Drosophila melanogaster: one gene and its partner. The protein of the gene in region 1 interacts with the protein of each later gene in a pairwise test. Each region holds a gene or a part of one and is shown in the gene's direction. Other genes may lie near its edges.

Region 1 (9,396 bases):
CGCAACGGAGTCTGCTTTTCCGTTTTTCCGGGGGTTGGATGTGTATTTTTCCAGTCTCGCATTCAATTTGCGCGATTTCCCCCCACCATTTGCATATTTCTGTGAATGAAACCGCCGCATAGTTTGTACTTTTCCCTTACTGGCAAAAAAGAGGCGTTTCCATGACTAGGATTAAGATGCAACGATCGCTTTATGACCCCGCCGCCAAGGATTAAAAACCAACACTAAATTAAAGGGAACAAATAAATAAAAATAGCGAACAATCAACGAAAATAAAAAAGAAGTAGGCACAACTAAGGCAAAGAAAATAAAAAAAAAAAACACTCAGTGCCTGTTAACGGACTTGTTGACAATAAACATACGCCCACAAATAACTAATCTCACATGCATGGATACACAGAAAAAAATATTAAATATTTTTATTATTCTATGATTAACTTTACATTTAAATACAAATTGTTTAATGCAGATTTTGAAATAGAATCAACACATTTTATCTGCAGAATTTTAAAGTTTTTTTTTTGTTTTAACAATTTAATGATCTTAATAATCTTTTAGAAAATGTAACCACAAAAATTCAGTTTAATGATAAGTTTATATTTATTAAATATATATTGTTCTATAATGTTTATGCCAGTGCAATGGCATGCATAAATAAATTTAGCAAAGTTAATTGGAATAAGGGAGTTGAAAGCGCTGTTTGCATGCTCCCAAAAAAAAGGGAAAACAAATTTCCAAATCTTTTGCTCTCCCTCCCACTTTTCCGTTTCCGAAAATGGTGCAAAAAGGGGAGAAAACAAACAAACAAACACTCACAAACTCTCTTCCGCATTCCGTTTGTGAGCTCTTGTGCACTTGATTTTCGATTTGCATTTCTAAAATGGCCCATAAAAGTGCTAAAACTAATGAAATGGCTTTGATTCAGTTGATGGCCATTGCCAGTTTGTAAAAATAAAAAACGAATTAAACAATTACGAGAAAGGTGTGGGCAGTTTTATCAACGGCGATTCACTTAAGTTTCAGCAGGAAAACCTTTTAGGCCTTGGCACTAAAAATTAAGCTGAAGATACACAGGACGTATACGTAATATAAGTAACGACTTTTGAAAATGTACCTAATCATTAAAATCATTAAAATGTATGATCGTGATCATTAAGCAGAAGTTTTCTTTACGTATGCTTGATATTTAATTAACTTTACAATTCGTAAATTTTCTTTTTTACTACGTACAATTATATTCCACAACACCACCGGGTTAATAACAACCATTATTACGCTTGGCTGCATCTGCTCAAAAATTAAATAAAAAACGGAGCTAGCAGGGGAAGTATAATAAATTCAAATAAACTCACGAGGACAATGGCAATGGTTGAAATGTGGCCCGCGGATACGCAATGTGCCACAGGCACCGGAACCGGAAGTTCTGTACAGTGTGTACCAGGACCAGCTTAAAAACAAAAAAATATATATACGAAGAAAAAGAAAATGCCAAACACCCCGCGAAACATGGCGGCAAACAAATGAGCAGACGGCGGTGGGCGTGGCGCCTTCTGACAGGCAGCTTAATTAAGATGGCCAGGATAATGCAGAAATTAAGACACAAAATGCCACGAGAAGGACGAGCAAAGTTTTGCCAGACGCGAAAGTTTTCCCAGCCAAACGAAGACATATCAGACCGGATTTTCTCCGAATTTCACGAGCCACTTCGATTGGAAAATGCCAGAATCACGAATCATTTGATAAATTTATTGAACTTTGTCCTGCAGGCGCATTGCACACAAATGTAGCCGATAACTTTATGGTTTTCCATGGGAAATACAAGAACTATTTTATTTAAAAAGAGGAAAACGGAGAGGTTATCTCAAATGATTCAAAAGTAGGTGTATCTAAAGGGTCTTGCTGTATTTTGTTTTTCAGTTTATAGCTTTAATGATCTATCTAGCTTTTTCGTTTTAGTTTTATGACTTATATAAATTTTCATGTAATTTTCAGTAGTCTTTTTTTGTAATTGATTTATTTTCAGATCGGTTTAAGCCACTTTTGCATCACTGGTTACGCCGACATCCTGGCAAGTGCTTCTGTTTCCGCTGCGTCTTTGATTGCATTCGACTTTTGGCTGCAGTTCAGGCGCCTCTATCCCCTTAAATCCCTTCGCCACCCCACTTTTCCACCCACTCGACGACAACAATATTGTCCTTTTGGCTGAAATCAAAATGCTGGAAAGTTTTAGCTGGACAACGTAAACATAAAGTAAATGCAGTGCCAAAAACAAAAGTCAAGTCCACTCCGAGTGTCCAACTGCACTTTCTGTGTGTGTGAGTATCTGTGTGTCCAAAGTATCTGTGTGTCCAGAGTACCTCTATATGTGTGTTGGCTTGTTGATGCGTGTGCATGTGATCTGCTGGCTGCGATTAGAAAATGATTTACACCTCTGGCTGCAAAAAAAGAGAATTCAGGATAAAAGATGGGCCTTACAACGTCTGCGAAACTGGTTGGAAGAAGAAGCTGATGTTCTTCTCCCTCTCCTTCATCTTCTTGTTCTTGGCCAGCTCTGCTTCTTCCCAGTATGCAATTACACATTTTATTATTATTAACGTTAATGTCGCCCATGGGAGGGCACTAACGCCCGGCTCCACATAAAAGGCGCTTATTAATAAGAAATTGCAATAAACTACAAGACACAGCAGAACGTACAGCAATCCGTTGCTACACTACAAGAATTTTGCATATGTGCTATTTCGCGCAAGAAAATGTAAACTGAAATTAATACATTTCATTTCGCAGAACCATTTTTAATTATTCTTATACGTTCTTTATTTTTATATATTAATTATTCATTTAAGTTATATATGAGTAAATTTGTAATGCTTTTAGACGTTCAAGGCCACACTTTTTTTAAGTGCATTCCGGTACGCTGGCGCTTAAAGGAGCAACAGCTGGCGTATGAGTGAGAGGCCAGACGGTGGGAGAGGGGCACCGAAACAGAAGAGAGTGTGAGAAAGGGAAAGAGAGATCCCAGCCGGCGAATGCGCGGCAAAAACAAAAGGCAACGGGAGAAGCTCGGCGAAACAGCTGGCGAAGAAAGTCGCTCTCTTTGGCTTATCTCTTTTTAACCCTCTTCTGCCTGCCATTGCTTTTCTTAACCCTTGCGTATCCTTGTTGAGAGTAAATCAAGCGCTCCACATATTTTATTAAGTTGGAAACCAGTAATAAAGTAGGAAGCTCGCTGCCAGCTGCAGCTCACACACACACCTACACGCACACACTAACCGATGCACTCTTCTCCGGCGCTGGGGTTGCTGTTGTTGCACTGCCTGCTGCACGCGCGAAAATGCTAAGTTGCCAGGAGCGGATTCAGTTGGTTGGCTGCATATATGACAACCAACGAAGATTTTCTAACTCAGTATTAGTTAGACCATCATTTCGAGAAAACAGAAAAGTATAAACTTTTTTTCCGTATCATCGCAGTTATGAACCAAGCAGACTTAATTTTTTTTGTAACAAAACTAATAGATCGGCTTAGATTGATGAACTAACAAAATTAATCAGGTAACCGTATTCCCATAAAACATTGCCTACTTTTTCGGGCATTAGGTAAACTACAATATAAACTATACCCTGCACCGTTTTGAAAGTGATCCGCACCTGTTCTGAAGCATTTTCTGCTCTCTCCCTCGCTTCCCTTCTTCGATCCCACTCTTCGTAGAGGCTCAAAACGTGCGCCTAACAAAATGCCGGTTTAAGTTTTGCGTTGTTTGGCGTATACGTAATGCAAAAGGAGAGCGAGAGTAGTGTGCCGAAAACGAGAGAGTGTGTGAGAGAGCGGAAAAGAGCGCGCGCGTCGCTAGTTGCTTTTCGTCTGATTGGAACTCCAAACTCCAATTCCAGCTCCAACTCCTACTACAAATACAACTACAGCTCCACTGCATCAGCATGTTGTTGTTGCTGCTTTAGCTGTTTTTTGTTTTTGTTTCATCTGGCAGTTCTTGTTCCTTTCCTTCTGCACTCCATTCGCACACTAGCTCAGGTCCACAGCAGCAGTCAAAGCAATAGCAGCTACAACTGCGCAGCTATTAAATGTTTTCAAAATACCAAAGTTCTTAAAAAAATATGTATACTAATTATGTTTTTTTGATAAAATAATGTTTAAGCTATTTCAAAGATTGAAACCAATTTTATGGTTTGTGATGTGCATTGTTAAATTAAATTACTTACTTACTTACACTTACTTTTTAGCAATACTAAGTTCACAATAAACGTCGCTTCCATTCAATCATTAACTTAAAACAAGCTCTAAGCCATTTGGGCATTAATTCTTTTTCCGTGCCTGTGGCGAGCAAACTGCATTTGCGGCACTGCCGGCGTCGTCGACGTGGGGACGTCGCTGCGTCCGTGGGATTCGGCCGCAGTTGGATTTTGGTGCTGCTCGCGCGAGGACGTCTCCTCTCCTTAAACTTCTGCTGGGGCTCTCTTCGAAGAGAGCGCTAATCCTGCGAAGAGCGTCGTTTTTAAGTCGCGATCAGAAACAACAGTAACCACAACCTGGTGGCCAGCAATTCTTACCAGTTTTTAGAAAGAGCCACGAAAAAAATGAAGTAGTGTGAAATATTATATTTTCATTTTGTGTGTGCGTGTGTGTGCGGTTTTCCTTTAATTTCGTTACACTTCTTTTTTTTTGCGATTTTTGTTTATGTGCCAAACTAGTTTCGAGTTCATTGAATTTGCGGCGCCGTTGTCAACCGATCGTTGCTGAAAACGTAAGTGCAGCTTTTTAAGTAGCTAAGGATGCGTTTGCCGCAGGACATTTGCGGTCACGTGGCAGCTGCCGCCACCTGCGAAAACCGCAAAACGAAAAAGCCGCCAAAACATTAGCACTTGAATGGAAAAGTATTTCGCAAATTAGTTAAATAAGGGTTATAAAAGTGGCAGAAAAAGTATTTGTAGTGCACCAAAATTGAATATTTTTTTCCTTAGAACTGGAAGCGTTGTCTGTGTTTTTTAAACAATAATTGGCATGAAATTTCAAAAAATCGAAAATCATATACTTGACCGAAAAAAAAAGAAAAATATTACGTGAATTTATTTTATGTATATTAAGTTGTAACTTTAGGGCTTAAATCGCGATATAAAGTTTTCACATATTATATTTTCTGAACATCTCTTTTTAGACACTTTCTTAAAATACAAATAAATTTCAGAGTTGTCAATTTTTGGGTGAGAGCAGGTTTCCCCTTTTTAGCAGACTCACTACATACATTTATATTAACAACAATAACTTGGCTCTTTTGTCTCACAAGCAATTGGCTCGAAATGTTGTCGCGTCGCCCTTAGCTGTATCCTTTGTTTGGTCCTTGGCCATTAGGATCCCTTTTAATTAAGATGAATAACTTGCAGTTTTTATACGCCACAGAAATCGAAATTTCATCGCCGGCATTTGGTTGTTGCTTTATAAAGAGCTTTAAAACCAAACTTTTAAAGCATGGAAATAATTTAGTTTTTGTCGAAATACGTTAATAAACCTTCAGATAAGATTTACTGTTTGTTTATTTGTTTGTACAATTTATTACTTTGTCCATTTTTTTTTTTACTTTTTGTTGTACTTTGCTAGAAGTTTCCATCTCAAAGCGTTAAGTTTTTCTAGCATTTTGGCACAGCTTAAAAGTTGGCAAGTGCCAAAAGTTCAAGCGCGCTGCTCACCTTTCAATTAGCCGGGAATTCAGAGCGAATCTAATTAGTTGGCCAACATGGTGGTGGAAAGTGACGAGTCCTCTGATTTCCTGGCTCCCTGATTGCTTCCAAAAGCTGATCGATCATCAAAAGACACAACCGCCACGCAAAAAGGTAGCAAAAAGTAAACAAACTAAAAATCAAGCTACCGAAACAAAAAATGTACGAATTCTGGACTGTCGAAATGTTTTGGCAGTTTCAGCAGGGTGCTGTTAAAAAATGAATTCAGGAATTTCAGAAGTGTGGCCAATCATCAAACTGAATGAAGAAAAAAGTGCCCCTTTGGTTGACTCTTCCTGTTACATTTCACAAAGAAACATAAACGAATAGAAAGGAAAGTTGTATATTATAATCTTAGATATATTAACCGATAAATGTCAAAAATGTGTGTGTGACACGCAGTAAAGAATGTTAAATTGAATTAGGGGAAAAAGTATTACAAAAAAAAAAACAAAGTTCTTTGAATACCAGTTCATTACATTTTTTGTACATTACTTGACGAATGTAAGGACCTTTTAAGCAACCGAAAAATGCAAACAATTTGAGCAGCCCTCCGCTGATTTCGCTTATTAACTAAAATAAATCCGTCCAAACGGAAAGGTGCAGAAGGACAGGGCCGTTGGCCAAGTGCTACTGGCCAACTAGCTGACCATTTCCCTGTTTTGCCTTTTTTTTGTGTTTTTTTTTTTTTGTTAGCCTAGCTGCTGCTGCTTTATGTTTGCCTTTTATTTTGGCCACAAGTTCTAGTTAGTACGAGGCGGACGAAGGCGAGTTCATAGAGCCAAAAGAACCGGTCTTGGAAAGTCGTCTAAATGTTTCTCTTACCTTCGGGCACTGCAAGAAAAAACTAATTACGAAATAAGAGATATATAAAACATTTGGTTTAATGTGATCAGACCATCACGGTAGATTTAACTATCTTGGTGCGCTTCGTCACAACGTGGACTGCAAGCCTAAAAGATTTCCTAATCAGTATTACCTAACTATTAAAGTCATGATAAATGAATTAATGAAAATGAGGATGTGCTTCTCGAAAACCAGACTCGGCATGAAGTTCCCATGCTTTTTTATCAGTGCACCTTTTTATCCCCGTCCAAGTCGAAGTCCGAGACTTTTCGATGTCGATGCTGAAGGCCCACTAAAATGTCTGGCTGTGTGAGTGTGCGAGTGTGTAGTGGCTCCTTCCACGGAGTATTCATTCCCAGAGGAATGTGTTAAAGTGTCTAAAGCTGTTTGCCTTCCCCCCGAACGCGCCCCCCCCCTCCCCCACCTCAACCATCCATCCAAATCGCCAAATAGAAAATTCTGAACTCGAGGAGCAGCATAAAATACAAAGCCGAACGCATCAGAATGGCAACGGCGATTTATAAGATAGTCCCACAGAGCGCAGAGGAAAAATAATATCAAATATCAGGGCTTAATTGATTTTTTTCTTCGCCTTTTTACCCCTTTTTATAATGGATCTGACTCATTTGGTAGAGCTTATAAGTTATATAAGCATCATAAAAAGTACATGAAAGCTTTTTAATGCATCAAAATGTTTTTAAAATATGAATTTGCTATATGTGCTCCAATAATCTGTTAAATAGTAAAGTTAATTGCATGTGATTGCTGTTACAAAATGTTGTAATAAAATAGAGAAGGATGTACAAGGCTAAATTGCTACCTTAATATATAATAAAACATACAAGTTCTTAAAAAAAAAACGAAATCTAAATATTGGGTACCTCAGTTTATAACAATCTAATTAACTCCTGAAGAGTGAAATTAATCGCAACTAGTCGAAAAAATGTGCAGGACCTGAAATCATTATGGGCTAAAATTTAAGCAAATTGAGTTTGAAGCTGCCTGCTTCCCAGTTGATTCTCCTTCGCTCTTGCCTTGTTTGATGATGACATAGTATTTGCCCAAGTTAATGGGAAAATGGGAAATGAGTTAGCTGTGGAAAGGACAGTGAGTGGCGAAAATGTAATGCTGTCTGGGCAAAAATAACAGTTGCTCTGCATATTATTATTTTTTTGTATACACTTATTAATTCTCAAGGCAATAAGAACGATAATAGCTACAGTGCGTCACAAAATTGTAATTGGAATTATATTTCAATTAGCTTCATAGATTCTCAAAAATGAGGACTTTACATATTTTCAGAAATTATGAATTTTACATGCAGTAAAGACTAACATTATTTGTGGGCAATATACTTATGGCTGATACCTTGCAGCTCCTAACCCTAGGCCTTAACTAGATCCTCTCCCCCGAACGTCCCTCGATATTGAACGGGTTCTAATGGAGTTTTTAAATAAGTAATCACTTGCTGTTGTTGGCGGGCAAGGAGTTTCGTCAAAGGCAAAAGGCGACTGGTTAACGGTTAAAGGCGAATGCAAACATAAGCCCAGACATTGCCACGCCCCCTTAACCCTGTAGTTAATTAGAATTCCAATACTTCTGATGTAGTTAATAAAGTCTCAAAACGCAGTTGGTCATTTTATCTTTATTTGGTTTTTATTAAGCGAGTCTACATTCCAGATCTATTCCTGATTTATAACTGATCTTAGTGTGGTCTACAGGCAGATCTCTTGTGACAGCCAAGTGCTGACACTAGCAAATTCTGCAATATGTATGTATGAAGTTCATACTCGATAACCAATGGGAGTCGAGTGCGACCCCTAAAGGCGTACATGCTGAATTCGCATATTTAGTATTAGGGTGTATCTAAAGATCTACTAGGGTGACCCTAAGGAATTAGGGTGGTCCTAAGTTTACTTATTAGTCGACTTATTATTATGATTCATATTATAATTATTATTAATATTATTATTATTATTGTTATTATTATTGTTATTATGTTCGTATATACTACAACCCTTTGACTGCGCCCGCCTCCGCGCAATTTACAGGTTAACATGGGAACAAAGAGAAAAAATCGAGCACAGGAAACTCGGACCCTAATTGATTGTTAACTCGTGTGTGGTTCGCAATATTTTTTTTTGTTGCCTCTTGCTTCCCCTGAAAAATTGAGTCGCTGAAAATGCGGGGGAGTCCCCTGCAAGACCGCCCAACCCTCGCACAAAGACCGAAACCACCACAACACCCTCCTCCCACCCCCGCAATTATGGCTTAAAAAGTGTTGCTGGCATTTCGGGCCGAACAACTGCAACTGCAAAAAATAAAGGCCATAAGTAAACCAATTAGTCGCCCGGCAGTCGTAAGCTCAGTTTGCAGTGCAACTGTCGCCATCGCTGTCACTGCCAGGGGTACTCTAACCCCCGTGACCCCTCCAGCGCCCACGCCGAGCTCAGCCCCCTACCGCCGCCCAGTTGCAGAGTTGGCCAATTGGCTAGGGACATTTTTGGGGTTTTTTTTTTTTTAATTTTAAAAAACAGAAGTTGGAACTTTTTCCATTTGTTGCTTGATTAAATTAGTTTCTTGATGTATTTATACAAATAAATATATAAACATACTAATATGTAAGCATATGCTAATCAACTAAATCTTATTCTTTTTTTTATATATTTTTTTTTATTTATTTTAAATTGTGACATATTCTTACTGTTTCGATAAATCTATGTAATGATCAACAATGCGTATGAGTGATAAAGCCCATGCTTCATAGATTCAGCAAATCGACAGTTGGCAGCACTGAAACTCGAATCTGCCGCACCAGCAGCT
Region 2 (7,733 bases), on another chromosome or scaffold:
TACATCAAATTGTTGTTGAACCCATAACCCGGCATAACCTTTTGATTGCAGAAAGGCTGAGTTAAAACAAATGTATTTTTAATTTCCACTCTTTATTGTATGTATGCTTACAATTACAATCGCTCTATATTGAGAGGTTTTAAACTCTGCTTCTCCAGGGGAATCATTTATTACATATTATTTATTTTTATTTTCTATATCCAGTCAGCGATGACAGTCCACCCCCACCGTTATGTGTATGTATATATGTATGTATGAATAACAACCTCCTGGGTCGACGACTGTATGCATAAGGAACCTTCTCGACCGCCGGGAACAGAATCCATTAGTCAGCCTCCCACGTATGTATGTATGTGGCTTCACCAGGTCCCGATACCCAGTGCACACGTCTTCATTTAGTTCCATCTCCCGTTTCCTTTCTTCCGGATTTGTTTTGGTTTTGGTTTCAGCTATTCAGCTCCGTTATTTAAGCGGTGACCGCAGGGCAAGTGCAACTCAGTCGTCTTCGGTCAGCGGCCGCTGCACTTGAACATGAAACAGCCGCAAAAAGCTTAAAAGCTAAACCAAAACCAAATCCAAATACGAATCAAAAAACCAAACCCAATATAAAAGCAAAGTTCTGTGTATGTCAATTTCCAAGCCGTGATACGTTGTCACCTGATTGGTACGGGTCGCACTTGCTACAAGCGACTCTGGCTATGCGAAAGGTAAGTGGGTATCTAGTATTCATAGGCGGAAAGGACAGAGGTGAGCGACAGAACAACAAAGCACATGGCATCGCCCACTCGCGCCCACAAAGAAAGGTCGTATGTTGTCTGCATTGGGGCCGCTGTTTTGCGCTTATGCTATTGCTCTTCCTAGCGCTGAACTTGAACAATAGCGTCGCACCACGCAATACCGTGCACCAAAAAAGCACAGGTGTAGCAAAATGTTCCCCAAAAATGGGAAAATGCAAAATGTTATAAAGGCCTTTGAAAATAATATAAACAACATTTTTGCTTTCGCTTAAATTCAATAAATTTTCAATAATAATATATTACAAAATTATATTAGGGCCAGGTTCTGGGACGCCTTTTTTCATAGCACGCACAAATGAATAAGAAGACGCCATACAAAAGTCTGCCTCTTAAGTACCTAGGGGCACCCACTGCACTCCTTTCTCTCTTTGCTGCGACGCAATTGGAAAACATATTCATGCAATCATCAATTGCGCTTTTGCCGACGAAACAAAAAAACACAGAAATTTACGAAGGGAAAACTACGAACTGGAAATGCCCTTAAAGGGGGCAAAAAATTAAAAAACTTAATTCATTACTAAATTCCGAGCGTAGGACTATGCAAGGGGCATTTTGAAAAGAGGAGAGTACTTTAAAATAATAATGCTAAGCTACACCGATAAGAATTCTAATTTCCAATTAAACTGTCAATAACGCCAAACTAATGCATATGCAAATGTCATTATTGTGCGAAGCTTTTATGACGAAAGCCAGGTGCATTGATTCGTTCTCGGAGAATTGGCTTATTTTCACCTGGCATCTGGTGGCCCTGACACACGCCCCATTAAATAGCCACTCGAGCCGGGCTGAAAGAAGAGTGCCTGAACTACTGTAAGGCGCACTTGTCGTGTTGCACGTGAATCGAGAACGTGGGAACGGAAAAGTCGAGTATCGCCGTTGAGGCGCCATCCGAAAATTATTCATTGTTTTAGCTGCAGTCACCTGTTTGTCCTCCTGACCGCCTGTGCCCCTTCCTCCTCTTCCACGAAAGCAAAATAATTTATAGAAAACGACCGTTTAGAGTTTTAAATAAACCGTTTGAGGTAAGTTGGTGGTCGCATTGCTTCTGCTCCTTTTTAATTGACCATTGCGAATTCGTTTGGCGCCAATTTTATTTTCACGCCGCCTGGCGCCACACGCGGCGTTTGCGCAATGTACACCGGGCGAAAAATGGGAAAAGTGAGTGGTATGTGTGAAACTCTCATTGATTTGTTTTCTGTCACTCCTATTCATTTTTGCTTTGGTTGTTGTGTCGGGCACTCGACTGGACGGGTGTTAATTAAATTATGGCTTTTAATTTAATTGTTTCTGTTCGACATGCGCATTCATTTATAATCGAATTGGATCAAAATTCAAAGGGGAAACGAACAGAACTTTATTATTTTATCGTCCCGTGGGAAAATGAGCGAATGGAAACTCAAAAAGCAAAATAATAGCGGTTCTGTTGCTTTATATTTGGCAAATATTTAAATATTAAAGCCTTTCATGTTGAGATGTTCATGTTCAGTTTGGATTGCACTTACATTTAGGATCTTCACTTCCCCTTTTTAATTTCATAAATTTTCACATGTCAAATGGTGGCTTGGTGTGGAAATGAAAAGCTAAGTGAAGAAAATGGTCTTGGCTGGTCCCAAGCATTTTTTAAATTTATTTCATAAGGCAACAGAAAAAAAATTTCCCCAGCCCATTTTGATGATTAAAACGACATATTGCGCTGCCCTAACACGCTATCACAAAACCGTACCCCACACCACTATTTGCTAATAAATTAAACAAATTGAGGACGAATCGGCGGGTCCATTGATGTGTAACTCTGGGATACCGACGGGTTTAATAATGGGCAACTAAATGAGAGCTCCGAGGGTTCCGAACCGGTTCGTCTGCCAAGCTTAGCTTCCAAGCGGGGGGAAGTCCAGCAATTAGAAAGAAACTGGTGCACAGCCCACCGTTGATGACTAAATCAGCTGGGATTTCGTGAAATTAGCTTTTTATACTAAGCGCTTGGCTGAAAATATATGCAAATGGGATTTTAAAAATATTTTTCAGGCGACATTGTGTCTCGCCGAACCTCGATTGCTGCCCATTAAAAATGCTAATTTCAAATATTTTTTAGCAGAAAGCAAGAAATAAATTAGCCACAAAATGCTAAAAGCAGAGGCCAAATAAAAACGATTTTAACTAAGCCACCGAACTCGCTAAGGGTGAGACAAATTAAATTGAATTTGATTATTATATAAAATAAAATAGGTAAGAAGAAAATTCGCGACCATTTCTAAAATATGCAGTCAAAGTTCATTCGATGAAGACGAATTGTAATTTTCATAGATTTATTTGAGCCTAAACGCCGTTCAGTTTGAATGAGTGCTTATCACAAGTACACAAAAACTAAAGAAATATTACTTATATTGCTAATTGATAAGGTCTTTGAATATTAAATGTGTTTATTAAACTGTGTTATTTAAACTACGCAGCAATTCACAAGTAAGTCTTTAAACAAATTAAGCTAGGAAATTTAAATAATACATAAATGGAAACTCAACCAAATATAGAAAATAACAGGAATAGAACTAATATTTACAATATTTCTTAACAAGATAAAAAACCATAACAGGAACAGAACTAATATTTACAATATTTCTTAAAGAGAAAAAAAAACAAAGTGAGAGAAAAACTTGATGACGAAAGCGTCGGCATCCACGTCAGCAAAGCCAAAGCAACTGCAGTTTCCGCTTCCCCTTAATTTTGTTTTGTTTTCGCTTCGTAGTAAAACGTAAAAACGAGAATAAAACCGTGAGCGGGAGCGGGAGCAGCAAGTGAATTTTTTCACGCTGGGTGGAAAAGGCGCGCGAACGTGACGGAACGCCGGAAAGTTGTGGAACAGGCGATGTGAATGAATTGTGGAACGCGTTTGTGTAGAAGGCCTTACACTTATGCTAATGTGGAACCCAGAGTGCGGATCAACGAACGATCCGTGCGCGAAGAGAGCGGGAATAGTTTAAATTCCAGAAAATGCACATTTGTACACATACATACATACATAATTGCCTTGGAAGTTTACGACAGCGACGTTGTCCACAATTTCATTTTATAGATGGGGGCGTGGCACTGATGCATGATCTTGATGGAATTATGTACCTATGTATGTATGTATGTAAATGTAAGCAAGATTCGTTGCAGTAACAACAAATAAGTGGATGAAAACAAGTGCGTCACTTACTCATTAATAAATAAATAATTAATGGGCGGCGCATTCGAAATGTAAAAGAAAACGCAAATAGCTTGCCCACTCGCGGCAATAACGGAACCGTGACTTGCAAATCGGTGAAATGAATAGGATATGCATAACTGTTTTTTCGAAAGACCTGCAAATAATTCAAGAAAGTTCCAGAAATACCCAAATTTAATAGCTATCCAACATTAGGGTGACAATAACGTGTTTCAACAGATGCAATATATACGCAAAATCAAAGAAAAACAAACAAAACCCGTTAAAAACTAATTATTTAAAAAAGAATACAAAAATATAAATTTAAAGCTAACTTAATAAAAAATAACATAATTTTCCCATTATTCATGTGTCGATTAAAACTCAAATGAAAATTCTTACACTTCTCCGCACTCTTTTTTACCCCATAACTCTCTATCTCTCTTCCAGTTCTCCGCGCTCACGATTTGGTAACTGTGGCCCAATGCCGCCGTTCCCAGTTTAGCGCGCTCTCCTTGCCTTTTCTTTCGCCTTTTCGACTCATTTCGAATCGGAAATTTGACGGGTTCGGTCGTAATCACGGATACAAATTTGACGCCCTGTTGGAAAAACCACAACGTCCAATTTTCCTTTTATCGCGCCAAAAAGAAATGCGAGTAAGACCCGAGTCTTCGTGTATACGTATAATTACCATTTGCAATCACAAAGGTTTTGCAACTGTCGCCGGGCGGTGAAAACTCAAGTGAATAAATATCGCAAAGTGAAGCAAATAAAAAAATATTACAAAAACCGGTAAAACGAAATGAAACTGAAATGAGTGAGGGCAGCAACTTCAAGTGACGAAAGCAATCCGTTTACCGTTGTCTTTGCCTCTTCATCCTCCCCGAGAACGGCGGAGAACGCGAAAAATATCATGAAATGTAAAAGCTGGTCCAACAAAATTAACAACTACGTTGTGCGCAAAATAAAGTCTATCAAGGTAAATAGTGTCTTAAAAAGGTGCGGTGTTTGGCCCTGATACATATATACTTATATTTATTTAAATTTTGATTAAGTGAATATATCTTATGAGGCTTATGAGACTTGTTAAGGTGTTAAAAAATAAGTTTATAGCATAGATATGGGGTAATGCGAAAGTACAATTTGTTAAAGTTGTTTTTAATTAAAATAATTTAGTAAAACTTTTTTTACAAACTACAAGTAATGCTTTCGAGAAAATACCTCCCATCAATTTTATCGTTAAATTACACAAAATTGTTCTTGGAAAAAAAAATTGAATTGGTTGTACAAATTTTTGTTTACAAAATACAAAAGCTGCAAAATAATTTATTGACATGAAATAATGAAATACTCATAAAGCTGTGAAATTTAATGTTTGAGCTATATAGCAAAAAAAAAAAGTATTTTTACTTTTTGCAATTCTTGTTACCAATAAATTTAAATATTTCCGTACATTTCATCTAAAAAATTTCCATTGACAACACATGCTGGTATAATATATAAAGATCAAAGCCATAAACTCCTCACTAAGTGGGCAATAAAATAAGATAATTCAACGACTGTCTGTATAACAACCACTTTAAAAGCTATCTAGATGGAGTTGATTATGAATACATTTTCAGATGCTTATATTACTCGACATAAATAGGCAGTGGATGTGTATAATTATTTTGCAGGCACCCGACAACGAAAATAAAATGCATAAAAAAGTTTAATGAAGCCGCAGGGGTTGACTAAATTTATTTAACAACTGCAGTTCATTGCCTCGCAAATTGCTTGATACTTTAAAAACAACAACAAAAATTCACAGCAAAAAAACACAATGATTCCAGCTGGTTTCTAAACAACAATTTATTGTGGTTTCTTTTACTTTTAATTGCTATCTATTAGCAGCAACCAATAAATGAATTATTTATTTTATTTTCTCTTGCAAGCAGCCAAAAGTAAAATTATGCCCCTCTCTCTCCCGATCCGAGTTCATCACTTTGTCTTCTTTTAGCTGTTTTTATTTTGCAAATAACTTGAGTAGTGGATGGGAAACAACGCAAAGGCCTTTCACTTGCATGTCTGTTGCTCGGTTTGTTGTCATTAGGTTTACTGTTGTTGTTGCACACACTCATCCGCTTACATACCTCGTTTATATACTTATTTACATTTGAAGTTGCCGTCGTTGGTATGTTTTACTACGTATCAGCTTGTCCGCTTTGAGCTGCCCCTTCGCTTTTCAAGCATTTTGTTTTGTCCGCTCTGTTTTTCAGCTATTCCAATTCTCTTCCTTCGTTGCCCTGTGTATGTATTCGTAATCGGGTTCGGATTCTTGTTTATTTTTACACCACTTCTCTTTCTCTTTCGCACGAAAATTCCTCGAATTCTTTTTTATCCATATTTTCCTTTTCCAGCGGGAAAAACGAGTTTTTCCAGCAGCGCCGCATTCTTAGCCTGTCGCCTTGTCTCTTTCCCACTTTTATAGTGTCTCCGCTTCTTGCTTGTTTACAGTTAGGAATGCGGTCGTCTCCCCTCTCTCTCTCTCTCTCTCTCTCTCTCTCACTCTCTCTCTTCAAAAAGAGCGTGCGCTCTCTTTGGCCTTATGTAGTTGTGTGGATTTCGACTGAAACTTGTTTTCGCTTTGCCCCGTCGTGTTTATTTATAAAAAGTCACTGGCAAACAATTACAGTGCAACAATTACGCTCTCAAAAGTGGCGCGCAACTTGTTCGCCTTGTAAAAAAAATTGTGACGCCAGCGGCGACACGACTGCGCTGCTTTGGCCCCATTTAACTGAGAGCGCCGAGGGTTAGCTTGGCGGGGGCGGCAACGCCAAAGAGAGTTCTCTCGGGTGGCGCTCGTCTCCCATCGGTTTCGCTGCTCGAGCCAAATGCTTGGAAGTCAAAGTCTCGCCCGACCATAGTTTCTTATTGGATTTCAAACCAGTCGCTTCGTGCACGCGGCGTTCGACTACGCACACACACACACCCATAGCGCGCTGGCATTGATATACATACACAGGCAAATACACGACGCCCCAAGTTCGTGTGATGTAGTGCTGTAGTGGTGCGATTAAATAATACTCCACAAAAGGCCAAATAAATTACATAAAATCTAAATCGGAATAAAAATAAGTGTATTCTCCCTCCGTGTTGTGTTCAAAGTATTTAACCGATTGTTTTCATTAGTCAAATTAATGTAGTACAACGTATGAGTGTGAGCCAGTTCCTAGAAAAATAAGAGGGCATAAAAAATAACAGACACATACAGCGTCTCGTTTCTTATAAATTTTCCTACTGCGTCGGAATTATTGTCTTGATTATTGTTGTTTCTGGCGAACTTTTGTGATTTGTTTCGAGAAACATACTGCGGCGGTTTCATAATTGTGCAAATCAAGGGAAGCACAATACGAATGTTAAGAATCAAAGCTAAGAATTAAATAAAATTAAAGCCGCACACATACATATACACAGGCACGCGCAGAGTCGAAAAAATACGCGCGCTCGCTCTGTACAGTGTGTGCGTGTACGCGGTGGCTGGCTCTTCTTCTTCATTCGTGTGCCCATTGGAATTTGTACCCCAAATCGAAATTACAACATAGACAAACAAAGAGCGCCCGTCTGCCCCAGCACCTAAACGTAAGTGTGTGCGTGCGAGAGTCGTTTCATTTGCATTCTTGTTTAGCGCACTCCCGCTCTCTCTTCGTGCGTTTTTCATTCATAAGCACATTTTTACTATTTGGAACTGCAATTTTTTACACTAAGCTTGA

The links.
Region 2: the proteins of CG43658 (region 1) and Pdk1 interact in a two-hybrid assay, tested with the Drosophila melanogaster proteins (one large-scale study listed by BioGRID).

Annotation. Positions count from the first base shown.
Region 1 is NC_004354.4:17,556,190-17,565,585, reverse strand, and holds the start of CG43658 (uncharacterized protein), read left to right. Parts: upstream 1-4,405; 5' UTR 4,406-4,757; intron 4,758-9,396.
Region 2 is NT_037436.4:124,929-132,661, forward strand, and holds the start of Pdk1 (Phosphoinositide-dependent kinase 1), read left to right. Parts: upstream 1-4,521; 5' UTR 4,522-4,894; coding exon 4,895-4,960; intron 4,961-5,801; exon of another isoform or gene 5,802-6,643; intron 6,644-6,883; exon of another isoform or gene 6,884-7,602; intron 7,603-7,733.